Linked DNA regions of Macaca fascicularis. The protein of the gene in region 1 purifies or fractionates together with the protein of each later gene. This does not show direct contact. Links are inferred from orthologs where the notes say so. Each region holds a gene or a part of one and is shown on either strand. Other genes may lie near its edges.

Evidence for each region.
Region 2: the proteins of PSMA4 (region 1) and PSME4 purify together in Homo sapiens (affinity purification with mass spectrometry; 4 studies listed by BioGRID and IntAct, with this or other methods). This does not show direct contact. The link is inferred for Macaca fascicularis from reciprocal best matches to the Homo sapiens genes PSMA4 and PSME4.
Region 3: the proteins of PSMA4 (region 1) and PSME1 purify together in Homo sapiens (affinity purification with western blotting; 4 studies listed by BioGRID and IntAct, with this or other methods). This does not show direct contact. The link is inferred for Macaca fascicularis from reciprocal best matches to the Homo sapiens genes PSMA4 and PSME1.

Annotation. Positions count from the first base shown.
Region 1 is NC_088381.1:55,902,905-55,907,062, reverse strand, and holds the start of PSMA4 (proteasome subunit alpha type-4), read right to left. Parts: upstream 2,858-4,158; 5' UTR 2,739-2,857; intron 1,384-2,738; 5' UTR 1,361-1,383; coding exon 1,358-1,360; intron 1,112-1,357; coding exon 1,069-1,111; intron 804-1,068; coding exon 641-803; intron 1-640. UniProt on the Homo sapiens protein: Component of the 20S core proteasome complex involved in the proteolytic degradation of most intracellular proteins. This complex plays numerous essential roles within the cell by associating with different regulatory particles.
Region 2 is NC_088387.1:67,991,658-67,995,178, forward strand, and holds the end of PSME4 (proteasome activator complex subunit 4), read left to right. Parts: intron 1-124; coding exon 125-258; intron 259-782; coding exon 783-917; 3' UTR 918-921; intron 922-1,456; 3' UTR 1,457-2,978; downstream 2,979-3,521. UniProt on the Homo sapiens protein: Associated component of the proteasome that specifically recognizes acetylated histones and promotes ATP- and ubiquitin-independent degradation of core histones during spermatogenesis and DNA damage response.
Region 3 is NC_088381.1:91,949,923-91,954,105, forward strand, and holds PSME1 (proteasome activator complex subunit 1), read left to right. Parts: upstream 1-1,323; 5' UTR 1,324-1,438; coding exon 1,439-1,477; intron 1,478-2,160; coding exon 2,161-2,193; intron 2,194-2,315; coding exon 2,316-2,378; intron 2,379-2,492; coding exon 2,493-2,603; intron 2,604-2,691; coding exon 2,692-2,737; intron 2,738-2,871; coding exon 2,872-2,969; intron 2,970-3,218; coding exon 3,219-3,287; intron 3,288-3,365; coding exon 3,366-3,433; intron 3,434-3,516; coding exon 3,517-3,571; intron 3,572-3,645; coding exon 3,646-3,732; intron 3,733-3,905; coding exon 3,906-3,986; 3' UTR 3,987-4,132; downstream 4,133-4,183. Other genes in the region: EMC9 (ER membrane protein complex subunit 9), read right to left, coding at 4,180-4,183. UniProt on the Homo sapiens protein: Implicated in immunoproteasome assembly and required for efficient antigen processing. The PA28 activator complex enhances the generation of class I binding peptides by altering the cleavage pattern of the proteasome.

The DNA.
Region 1 (4,158 bases):
GTATCCAAAGGCCCTGATAATCAGCATTTACCAAGCCTACCATCACTGAAGGGAAAGTCTCTACTTAGCATGGCCAGCTCTCCATGAGCTGCAAAGTTCTGCACATCTAAATATAACCAACATCTCACACCGTGTACAAGGCTTGGCTAAATTCTTCCCAGATCTCCAACAGGCTTGTTCTTTAGTAAGATTCAGTATAATTCAACAAAATCCTGCATAGCTATTCTAAACAATACTTTGAGGGCCTACTATATGCCTGACACTATACTATTTTATTTCATTCATTTTATTTCATTAAACTGCCACAACCACTTGAGGAGACTCTGAGGCCCAAAGAAATTAAATAATTTGTGCAAGATCACATAGCCTGCATGGGGGAAGCCTGGAGCTGAACCCAAATCAGTGTGACTACTATGTCTGTACTCTTACCACTACACAATGCTAGTTTCTCTACTAAGTGTTTGCCCTGCACTTAAAAGGAGTAACACATGGTACCAGGCCTCAAAGAGGTTTCAAGCAAAATAAAGGTACAACTTCAATCCTACCACATCACACAGAAGAGCCCTCCCAAATTACATAGATCCCACTTATGTGAGAAAGTGAGATTTTTTTTAAAACTCTTTCCTAAAATCTCACTTACTCATTGAGTTTATAAATTTTTTCAGAAAAAAAGACTTCATCGAGAAGCTTGTGGATGTTGCGTCTCTCTGCTGCAAGCAAAACACCATCATTTGCTAAAATTCCCAAACAGGTGCCTGCATGTCCAATAGCTTCCATGGCATATTCAACTTGGTATAAGCGACCTACAAAACAAAAGCAGTGAGAAGCCAAGACTCTCCTCTATGCTCTTGCACCACTGACCCAAAAGAAATTAGCAAGGAAGCAAGCTAGAAACAAATTCCCACTTTCACTCTTCTATGGTATAATCAACCCGGTGACCATAATTGCTTCGAAGTACAAAAAGGATGAACTTTGCAACTACCAAAAAAAGTTTGTAATTTTTTTTTTCTAAAAGTCTAACACATTTTTTTTTTAAACTTGAGGCAGATTAAACAATTTCTATTTTACCTTCTGGAGAAAATATAGTGGTCCTGGAGTCATATCTTCGAGACTGCAAAGGAAAAACACATGAGTGATTCCTACCCACTGAAAGTAGGCCAACTCCTGCAAGCCCACAAATCACCTTACAAAACCTATCCTGGTATACAAAGTTCAGCAGATGAGAGGAAACTGACAAGAAAAAAGGCACCATCTCACTGCTTTCCTTCTATTTCAATTTTCCCACACAAGTCTGTAAGCTGAGTACAAGCAATACTATTTATCAGGCAACAGTTTACTGGCACATGTATTAACTCACCATGTTTTCTGAACTTTATATAGTTCCTGTAAAAAGAAAATCAGATCATCATTAAAATAAGATTCACAAATTAAAAAGCATTTGCTGACTTTACAAATTAGTTTTATTTACTCCCTTTATTCAGCTAAGTGTCAGGCGTTATGCTAGATGCTGGAATACCAAAATGTGTAAAACCAATTCCTGTCCTGAAAAGCTAATACTGGCAGTTAGGTGAGAGAGGCAGTCATAGATTATAATGCAGAAAGAGGAACCGGGGGTAGAATGGGAAAAGGGATGATGAAAAAAATCCAGAAAGTATTTTTTGAGAAACCGATACAGAAAATGAAAGTAAATCAGAGACGGGAGAGGCAGAAATAAGGCTGAGAACTCCTGGGTCTAAGAGAAAGAACAGGGGAAGAAAGAAGGGAAGGGCACTCCAGACAGAGCAGAAAGTATGAACAAAGGGTACTGAGGCAGGATAGCTTAGTGGGCATGAGACAAACTGCTGATGTTTTTAAAAATACATAAATAAGAGCTAAGCGAGTATCCAAATCCCGCGGAGCCTTGAATGCCAAGTTAAGACACTTAGGCCTTCTCCAGAGAGTCCTGAACTTGGGGGTGGAGGCAGTTATCTTGGGCACCATCAGTACCATTCGTGCAAAAGGCAATACTGGGTGCTCAGTGTTATTTGGTAAAGCCTCAGTCCAAAGCCCACATTCCCAAATACTGGAATACAGGGAATCAAGACTGGAAAGGTAAGCTGGAATCAAATCCTGGAGAGCCCGCGTGCCCAGGTAAAAACAGAATTTTCTCTCTCAGCCACTGGGGCTCCTCGGAATGATTCCCAAGGCCCGCAAGAACTGATTAGCATTTTAAATGATCCCTCTGGCTCGTGAGAGACGGAGGGCAGCGAACTGGTTGAGGTAATAGGAAGGTGCAAAGTAAGGATGGCCCAGAGCAGAGAAACAGGTAGGACACAGAGAGACTCGCCGGGGATTTCTGATTCGAGCGTAAGCACAACTTTCTGTGGTCTCCACGCCTGACGCCGGTCACAGCACGATTTTGAGTTCACCGGCACCTCTGGGAGCGCTAACTTTCACGTACCGAACTCCCGGGGACGGAAGCCGCCCCGAGTCCTCGGTCCTGCCCACAGATCCCCACCCTCAGCTCGCCCCCTCGCCGGGCCCCGGCGTCCAGGCTCGGCACGGGGAAGCCTCCAACGGCGGCCGGAGGGGGCCATTCCCGGCGGCTGGTCTGTCACCGTGGAGGCGGTGCAGAGTCATCGTGCCCACGGCTCCTCGGCGGCAACTGCAGGCCGGGACCGACTGTCTTGACGTTCACTACCCCCGCCGAAGGGAAGAGCGGCCATGCTTCCGCGGGCCCCCAGGGGCCAAAGGCTCACCAGATGGAAGACCCTGAAGACTTCAGATGTCCACTGAGCCCTTATCTCCGCGGGAAAATAAACCACCAGGGCTGCCCGAATAACCGCTGCTAATATGGCCCCCGCGCTTGCGCAGAACCGCTAAGGGAGGGGGTAGTGGGATGGCCGAGGACACGGAAGTCCTCCTTGTGGGGCGGAGCTAGAACCCGTGGCCCTCGTGGGAGCTGGGGCGCTGCAGCAGGTGGAGGAGTTGCTGCGCCATGGGGAGGAGGGCAGGAAGACCGTAGCCAACCAGAAGGTGGAATAACTAATTTCCTTCTCTTACCCTTGGCGCTCTACTTTCACTTTCTCTTCACTATTCACACCTAGGATAGCAAATAGTGTGGACCGGCTTCTTAATTGCTACCATTCCTGTCCTGTTTCCCGAAATGGTTCCAATCACATGAGACTTTACCTCTGTAATCATCTCCCTTTTTCATTCTGGCTTTCACTTTTACTGCTGATGTATACATTTTGGACATTTACATTATGATGAGGAAGGCTGGGTGGCTCACGCCTGTAATCCCAGCACCAGCACTTTGGGAGGTCGAGGAGGGTGGATCACCTGAGGTCGGGAGTTCGGGACCAGCCTGGCCAACATGGTGAAACCACGTCTCTACTAAAACTACAAAAATTACCCGGGTGTGTGGTGCACGCCTGTAATCCCAGGAAGCTGAGGCATGAGAATCGCTTGAACTCAGGAAGCGGAGGTTGCAGTGAGCCAAGAGTGCACCACTTCACTCCAGCCTGGGCAACAGAGTGAGGCTCCGTCTCAAAAAAAAAAAAAAAAATGATGGTCGGGCATGGTGACTCACGCTTGTAATTCTACTGCTTTGGGAGGCTGCGGCAGGAGGATGGCTTGAGGCTAGGAGTTTGAGGCTGTAGTGAGCTGTGATCGCGCCACTGCACTCCAGCCTGGGTGACAGACAAAGACTCTGGCTCTAAAAATTAAAAAAAAATTATGGTCAGGTTCACACTTTTAGAATTTTCACTTGGTGTGTTTCTCTGCTTTTCACCAGTCAGAAAGGATTACCCTGACCAGCGTAGTTAAAACAATACCCTACTGTCAGCATATACTTGCACCATTTTATCTTCTTTACTGAAATTGTCATACTTGTTTATGTGTTCATTATCCATCTCTCCACCCTTTTGCTCATTCAGCCTCAGTCCCTATGTAAACTATCTACTATTCATTTCAGGTTTTTTCAGGCTAGAAGGTTGACTAGATCTGGGTTCATATGAAGTCATCTGCTCAGTCTCTCCCAAAAAGCAACCCATTGGGCAGAAACTCTGTCCTCTTCATGTTGGTTGCAAAATAATTGGGGGATGTGGGCTTTGAAAAGGAGATGGCTTGGAAGTTGCATTTTGGGGTCTCACCTATCATCTCTGCTTTCCAAGCACA
Region 2 (3,521 bases), on another chromosome or scaffold:
TTCATTTTAAATGCAGAAATTCACATATTGAAAACAACATAATTGAAAACTAATTTTATTTCACTGTCACAGCTGCATTAGAGACATGTAAATATTTGCACATATGTTGCTGTTTTCTTTGCAGAGTTGGTCAAACGCCATGCTGGGGTGCTAGGACTTGGCGCATGTGTTCTTTCTAGTCCTTATGATGTTCCCACCTGGATGCCCCAGCTCCTCATGAATCTCAGTGCACATCTAAATGATCCTCAGCCTATTGAGGTACAGTTCTTCCTTATTAGTTTGTACATGTAGTATCAGTGATGTTTTCTAAGAAACCATAATAATAATTTCCTATACACTCTGAACTAACTGCTTTCATAAAGCTACTGCCTCTGCCAGGGCTCAGTCTGTTCACCAGTAATTATTTAAAAATTACAGAGACCTTGCTGCCATGGATATTTGAGATCTTTTGGTAGTCAGGAAATTATTGTAGCTTCTATCCCTCCCAGTTCAATGGAAGTAAAGTACTGTCACTATAGCTGTGATAAATTTTATGTTTCTATTTTTCTAGCACTGCAAAGTATTTTACTGGAAGCTAGTATTAAATCGGAAATTATGATGGCATTTTTAGTAACTCAAAAGACCATTGACTTTGTCCTTCTCATCGGCTTTTTGGTTTTGTAGCATTTGGTATTGTGTGAGATCTGAAGTCTAGAGGGATGGTAATTTAACTAAAAATATCCTACCTATGATCCTGGTTGTCCAGAGAGGTTAAAAACGTATGTGGATTGTCTACTTTACAGATGACTGTAAAAAAAACCTTATCCAATTTCCGAAGGACTCACCATGACAACTGGCAAGAACACAAACAGCAATTCACTGATGACCAACTGCTTGTTCTCACCGATCTTCTTGTGTCACCATGCTATTATGCATAGAAAGGTAAGTTGGCAAAGTTCTGAATTTAAAGACATGACATCCTCAGGCAAATGTCATTGGTTTGGTGACTGAGAAGTAGGTATTTATTGTTTTTTTTTTTCTTTTTGCTGACATTCTTAGATGTCAGTGTTTAGATAAAGTTGGATGGTGGGGGTTGTTTGTTTTTAAACATGGCTTTTGCCACAGCCATTGGAAATGAGAATTTTTCTGTGCCTCCTTGCTTTAGGTATAAAGCAGAGAAAATGTGTGACAGCTTTTGAACCTTTGTAAATGAGTGGTGTCAGTAGCCTGGGAATAGTTAGATAAAGGAAAATAAATCTTATTCTTAGTTGCCTCCTGGGTGGGACTGGGACATTTTGTGTGGCCCTGAGGACTCTGGGTTCTAGAAAGTTGTGAGAACATTTCATCTGGATTCTTACACCCATTCTGTTAAAGAGGGAGCCTTTCTACTGGAATAGGAAGAATAAAATTTCATGTATTGGGCTTTTAGAGTTGGATGTCCTGTTACCTAATTGAAATTTTTTCCTCCCTGATACAGATGACTAGTCCTCACTTCAGGCTCTTTTCATCAAAAATTCCACACCCTCAGGTACCATCTGTGGTGGCTCTCTGCAAGTTTTAAAACTGCCTCTGCTGAGCTCTCATCATTTTGGTGGTTTCTGTGTTAGATCTCATTAGTGTGCATTCCACAGCTTCTCAGTTGCCATTTGATTTCCTAACTTGTCCGGAAGTGTTTCCAGAATACTGATCACTTTTTTTTTTTTTTGAGGCATCTGACAAAGTCACAAAGTCTCAGACTAGAAATAATTACCCAGTATGATCATGGCATCCAAGACCAGAGTCTCGGAACTCATTAAGAAACAGTTGACTTGGAATGGAGAATGCCCATCTGTCACACAGGTCCTGTCATTTCATTCTTCTCAAGTTATTTTCAATTCTTCCCAAATGGCTGCTGGATTTAGATGGTAGTAGGGCTGTGGGCCATAAATCTGAAGCCTTGAGAACCTTGGGTCTGGAGAGCCATGAAGAGGGAAGGAAAAGAGGGCAAGTCCTGAACCTAACCAATGACCTGATGGATTGCTCGACCAAGACACAGAAGTGAAGTCTGTGTCTGCGCACTTCCCACAGACTGGAGTTTTTGGTGCTGAATAGAGCCAGTTGCTAAAAAATTGGGGGTTTGGTGAAGAAATTTCTGATTGTTGTGTGTATTCAATGTGTGATTTTAAAAATAAACAGCAACAACAATAAAAACCCTGACTGGCTGGTTTTTCCCTGTATTCTTTACAACTATTTTTTGACCCTCTGAAAATTGTTATACTTCACCTAAATGGAAGACTGCTGTGTTTGTGGAAATTTTGTAATTTTTTTTCTTTATTTTGTTCTCTCTCCCTTTTTATTTTGCCTGCAGAATCGTTGAGAGACTAATAAGGCTTGATATTTAATTGATTTGTTTAATATATGTTATATAAATGTAAAAGATTGTATAAACTGTAGAGATAGCATTGGCAAGACTTTGTACAGATGCAACCTTTTACACAACATCATTGTGTAATTTGTAAAGATTCACATGTAGTTCTTTATTATAGTGATTTTGGGCTTTTGTACCCACTGAATGCCATTTTTTGTGTTTTTAAATTATTTTCTTTTATCTTTCCTTGTTATAAAAACTGAGATGTGGTGTTTTTCTCTTTTTTTCAGTTCATTTATCATTAGAATGTCTGAACTTTTATGTAACGTTTTTGTGTGCATCTCTCAATGCTAACACCACATGTTTGCGTATGACAAGTTTATAGAGTGAAAGGTATCTTCTAGATTGAAATAATTCACAAATCGGTGAATATAATCTTGGAACACACCCTGTACAGTCTTCCTTAAAGGAACACTACAGTATATTTTTAGTATCTACATGCTGAATGACTCAGTACAGACCTAAGCACAGCAGTGGTCCTGGTACAGTATTTAAGTGTCAGCATACACAGGCGTAATCCCTGTATAAAGTAGTGCCAAATTGATTTCAATTGTGTAACTAGTTTAAAACCCAATAAATGGATTGTTTTTAACACCTGGCTTTTGTCTTCATTAAGAGGAGAAGACAGTTCTGTAGGCAGTGACTCCTGTGGATTTCATTTTGCAGCCGTAGATTTTTATCTGTAAATGTATGTCCTCTGATCAGTATAAATTTTCTAGGTCTGCTCTGTACAATACAGTAGCTACTAGCCACATCTGACTGTTTATATTTAATTAAATAAAAAGTTTATTCCCTCAGTCTCACTGGCATATTTTAAATACTCTTTAGCCACTTGTGGCTAGTGGTTACCACACTGAATAGCATCGATGAACTTTTCCATCATCACAGAAAGTTCACCTAGCACTGACCTAAGTGATTGATTATTTTTGTGTGGGGGTGTGGGAGACGGAATTTTGCTCTGTCATCCAGGCTGGAGTGCAATTGCACAATCTCAGCTTACTGCAACCTCTGCCTCCCACATTTAAGCAATGTTCATGCCTTGGCCTCCGGAGTAGCTGGGACTGTAGGCATACACCACCACACCCGGCTGATTTTTGTATTTTAGTAGAGACAGTTTCACCATGTTGCCCAGGCT
Region 3 (4,183 bases), about 36 Mb from region 1:
AGTGGCTCATGCCTGTAATCCCAGCACTTTGGGAGGCCGAGGCGGGCGGATCACGAGGTCAGCATATCGAGTCCATCCTGGCTAACATGGTGAAACCCCATCTCTACTAAAAATACAAAAATAGCCGAGCGTGGTGGGACGCGCCTGTAGTCCCAGCTACTGCGAAGGCTGAAGCAGGAGAATCGCTTGAACCCAGCAGGTGGAGGTTGCAGTAAGCTGAGATTGTGCCACTGCACTCCACCCTGGGCGACAGAGTGAGACTCTGTCCCCCAACACACACACACACACACACACACACACAGTTTGCTAGTTTAAATCAGTGAATTATCCTGGGGAGAAAAAAAAAAAAACCGGGCTAATATCAGAGATAAATGCTATGAATGTACTAAAACAGGCTGATTTGTAATGCATTTGGAGGGAGGTTCCTTATAGAGGATGATGAAAATAGTTGTCTCTGAAGAGGTGACATCTAAACTGAGAACCGAATGACAACACCCAGGGTAAGTGTGTTTTAGACAAAGGGATTATTAGCAAGGGCAAAGGCCCTGAGGCAGGAATGAACATGACACATTTGGGAAACAAATAGCCCGAGTATTTGCAAGTGTAATGAATGAAGGGGCAAGTAGTAGAAAGTGAACTTAAAGGGGAGACAGCTGCAACAGCCTTTTGGATTTCATTCTAAGGTCAACAGGCAGCTGAGAAAGGGTTTTAAGCCAGACAGAGGCATGAACCCGCTGCTCTGTGAGAGTGGGCTGTAGAATGGCATATGCCGCGGTGGTCCAGGAGAGAGCTGGTCCGGGCTTGGATAGGGATGCTGTCGGCTCTGGTGCCGGTGTTGCTACAGGTGCGGAGGATGTCGGCAGAGCCAGAGGCCCACGCTAGCAAGGCTAGGAAAGAGAGGCCAGGTCTTATTCCATCTCTGGGGAAAGACAGAAGAGCCCTAAGTAAGACTTATCTGTCCCAGGCGGAGCAGGGGAAGAAGAGAGCAGGTGGGGAGCCAGTTGGGAGGCGGAAGGTGGAGGGCGGGGCGCGGAGAGACTGGCTTAGACTAGACGATGGGAGGACCCGGCGTCCTCGGACGGCGGGCGGCGAGTGGCGAGAGGCGGGAGGCGGGAGGCGGGAGGCGGGAGGCGGGAGGCGGGAGGCGGGAGGCGGGAGGCGGGGACGAGAGGAGGGCGGGGAGGCGGGGACCCGGCCGGCGGGGGTGGGGAGGCTGGAAACTGGCCCTCGCGAGGCAGCCTGTGCGCGCTAGGGGGAGCCGCACCCGCCGCCCTCCTCTGCTGCACTGCACCTCTCCCTGGCCGGGCTGACCCCGCCTCCTCCAGCCCTCCCCGCCCCACTACCCAGGAAGGCCGTGAGTGGTGCGAGCGCCGCTTTCGCTTTCCCTTCGCGGTGCCCACTCCGTTCCTCGTGCGGCGCTAGGCCCCCCGTCCCGGTCATGGCCACGCTCAGGGTTCAGCCCGAGGCCCAAGCCAAGGTGAGCGCCGCGGGGTCTAGAAAAGGCCCACTGGGGAGGCGTGGCTCGAGCGGCCGGGGGCATCCCCGACCCGCCCCCCAGACTCCCACACAAGTCAGGGGCAGTCCGCCGAGCTGGCGCTCCCGGAGCACCTGCGCCCCGGGGAGGGCGGTGACTGCTGCCTGCGGGGACAGGCGAGGCGGCCGTGGTTCTGTGGGGTGAGGTGAAGCGGAGAGCTGGCGTGGAGGGGAACTCCGCTGGCCTGGAGCCGGGGCCACACACAGACTGGATGCGGGACTGCCCCAGCTACCTCGTGGCCTTTCCCTTAGGGAGGGTCCCGGGGCCCACCCCGTCCCTGTCCTGCTCGCAGAGGGCTCTCAGCACCCCTCCTCACACCTGCCAGGCGACCCCAGGGATCTGGTCTCACGTGAACCACTGGCCCTTCACTGCCAGGAATGTTCTCATCCCCCGTATCCAGCCCTAGGGATACCCATTCCACTCTCCGTAGATCCAGGTCTGCAGAGTTCCACTCCTCCACCACCCCAACCCACCCCACAGGCATCCATCTCGCTTTCTTCAGGTCTGGCCTTAGAGGGATCCCCTCCACCCTTCCCCAGGTCAGGCCCTACATAACCCTAAGGGAACTGTCCTCAAATGAACTGGCCTTAAAGCCAAGTTTCTGAAGGGATGCATGTGCCCCACAGGTGGATGTGTTTCGTGAAGACCTCTGTACCAAGGTAAGACATGCCCCATCAGCGGCCCCACCCCTGCCCAACTCCTACTGCTCAACCCTGCCTCACCACCTAGGATGGGCATATGATGCTGACTCCCATCCTTCTCCATCCCACCTCACACACAGACAGAGAACCTGCTCGGGAGCTATTTCCCCAAGAAGATTTCTGAGCTGGATGCATTTTTAAAGGTACCGCAGCTGGGCAGGGAGCTAGGGAGTAAAGGCCAAGAGAAGGGTCAGGGGCTGTGAGAGTGAGGTGAAAGGAACCCCCTCACCTCCAGCCCTCCTCCCACCCTACACCAGGAGCCAGCTCTCAATGAAGCCAACCTGAGCAATCTGAAGGCCCCGTTGGACATCCCAGTGCCTGATCCAGTCAAGGAGAAAGAGAAAGAGGAACGGAAGAAACAGCAGGAGGCAAGCTGGGAAGACCTGGGAGAAGGGATCCAACCATGGGGGTAATCAACCTTAGTCCTGACTCTCATGAGCCCCTCTTTTTCTGCAGAAGGAAGACAAGGATGAAAAGAAGAAGGGGGAGGATGAAGACAAAGGTACTTGAAACCACAATTGTGGGAAGAGACTTGAGTCCCACCCACAGGAGCTACTCCTAAGGATTTCTTTCTACTCTCCCCTTCAACCCTCACACAGGCTCAATCATGTGACTGACCCATTGCTCACTCTCTAGGTCCTCCCTGTGGTCCAGTGAACTGCAATGAAAAGATCTTGGTCCTTCTGCAGCGCTTGAAGCCTGAGATCAAGGATGTCATTGAGCAGCTCAACCTGGTAGGCTCTCCCCCTTCAACTCTCAGGCTTTAAGTCAAACCATTGTCCTCTTAGTCCCTGCCATTTAGGGCCTGGCACATGCCAGGTTTTAGCAAGAGAGGGCACAGCAAGTGAAACCAGAAGTCCGGGCTCTGAGGCTCAGGAGAGACCTGGCATGCCTCCAGCCAGTGTGGGGAGGGAAGCAAGGGAGAATATGAAACGGAATTGGATAGAGGGCTGATGTGGCATTACGCCATTCCCTCTTCCCAGGTCACCACCTGGTTGCAGCTGCAGATACCTCGGATTGAGGATGGTAACAATTTTGGAGTGGCTGTCCAGGTGAGAGTGCTGCCCCACTTCCCTGCTCTTTTCTAGTCCATGCTTCCTTCTACTTTCCCCCTTGCTTTTTTTCCCTAGGAGAAGGTGTTTGAGCTGATGACCAGCCTCCACACCAAGCTAGAAGGCTTCCACACCCAAATCTCTAAGTGAGTGACCACCCATGTACACACTGTCTGTTTTGGGACAGAGACCTCCTTCTTCTACTCCATACACACTTCTCCTTCCACAGGTATTTCTCTGAGCGTGGTGATGCAGTGACTAAAGCAGCCAAGCAGCCCCATGTGGTAGGTGAGGCCCAGGTCAGGGTGCATGAGGGAAGGACTCATGTAAGGTCAGGCCTGACCCGAGCTTCCCACAGGGTGATTATCGGCAGCTGGTGCACGAGCTGGATGAGGCAGAGTACCGGGACATCCGGCTGATGGTCATGGAGATCCGCAATGCTTATGTGAGGAGGCGAGGGCAGGGGTGGGCAGAGGCAGCTTTCCCAGGCCACGCACTCCCTGACCCTGCAGGCTGGGGGTAAAGGGTGACAAAGCGCAGCTTCTCCACAAGGCTAGAAATGGGGCACAGAGCCACTGGAGGCCTCTGACTGACCTCCACTCCTCCCTGGCCCTGTAGGCTGTGTTATATGACATCATCCTGAAGAACTTCGAGAAGCTCAAGAAGCCCAGGGGAGAAACAAAGGGAATGATCTATTGAGAGCCCTCTCTCCCATTCTGGGATGGGTACAGCAGAGACCTTCCTACTTTTTACTGGGGACTCCAGATTTTCCCCAAACTTGCTTCTGTTGAGATTTTTCCCTCATCTTGCCTCCCAGGCACAATAAATATAGTTATACCACTGCCCATCAGCCCAAGTCTCTTTATTGGATCTGGACCCTGCTGGCCCTGGCTCAG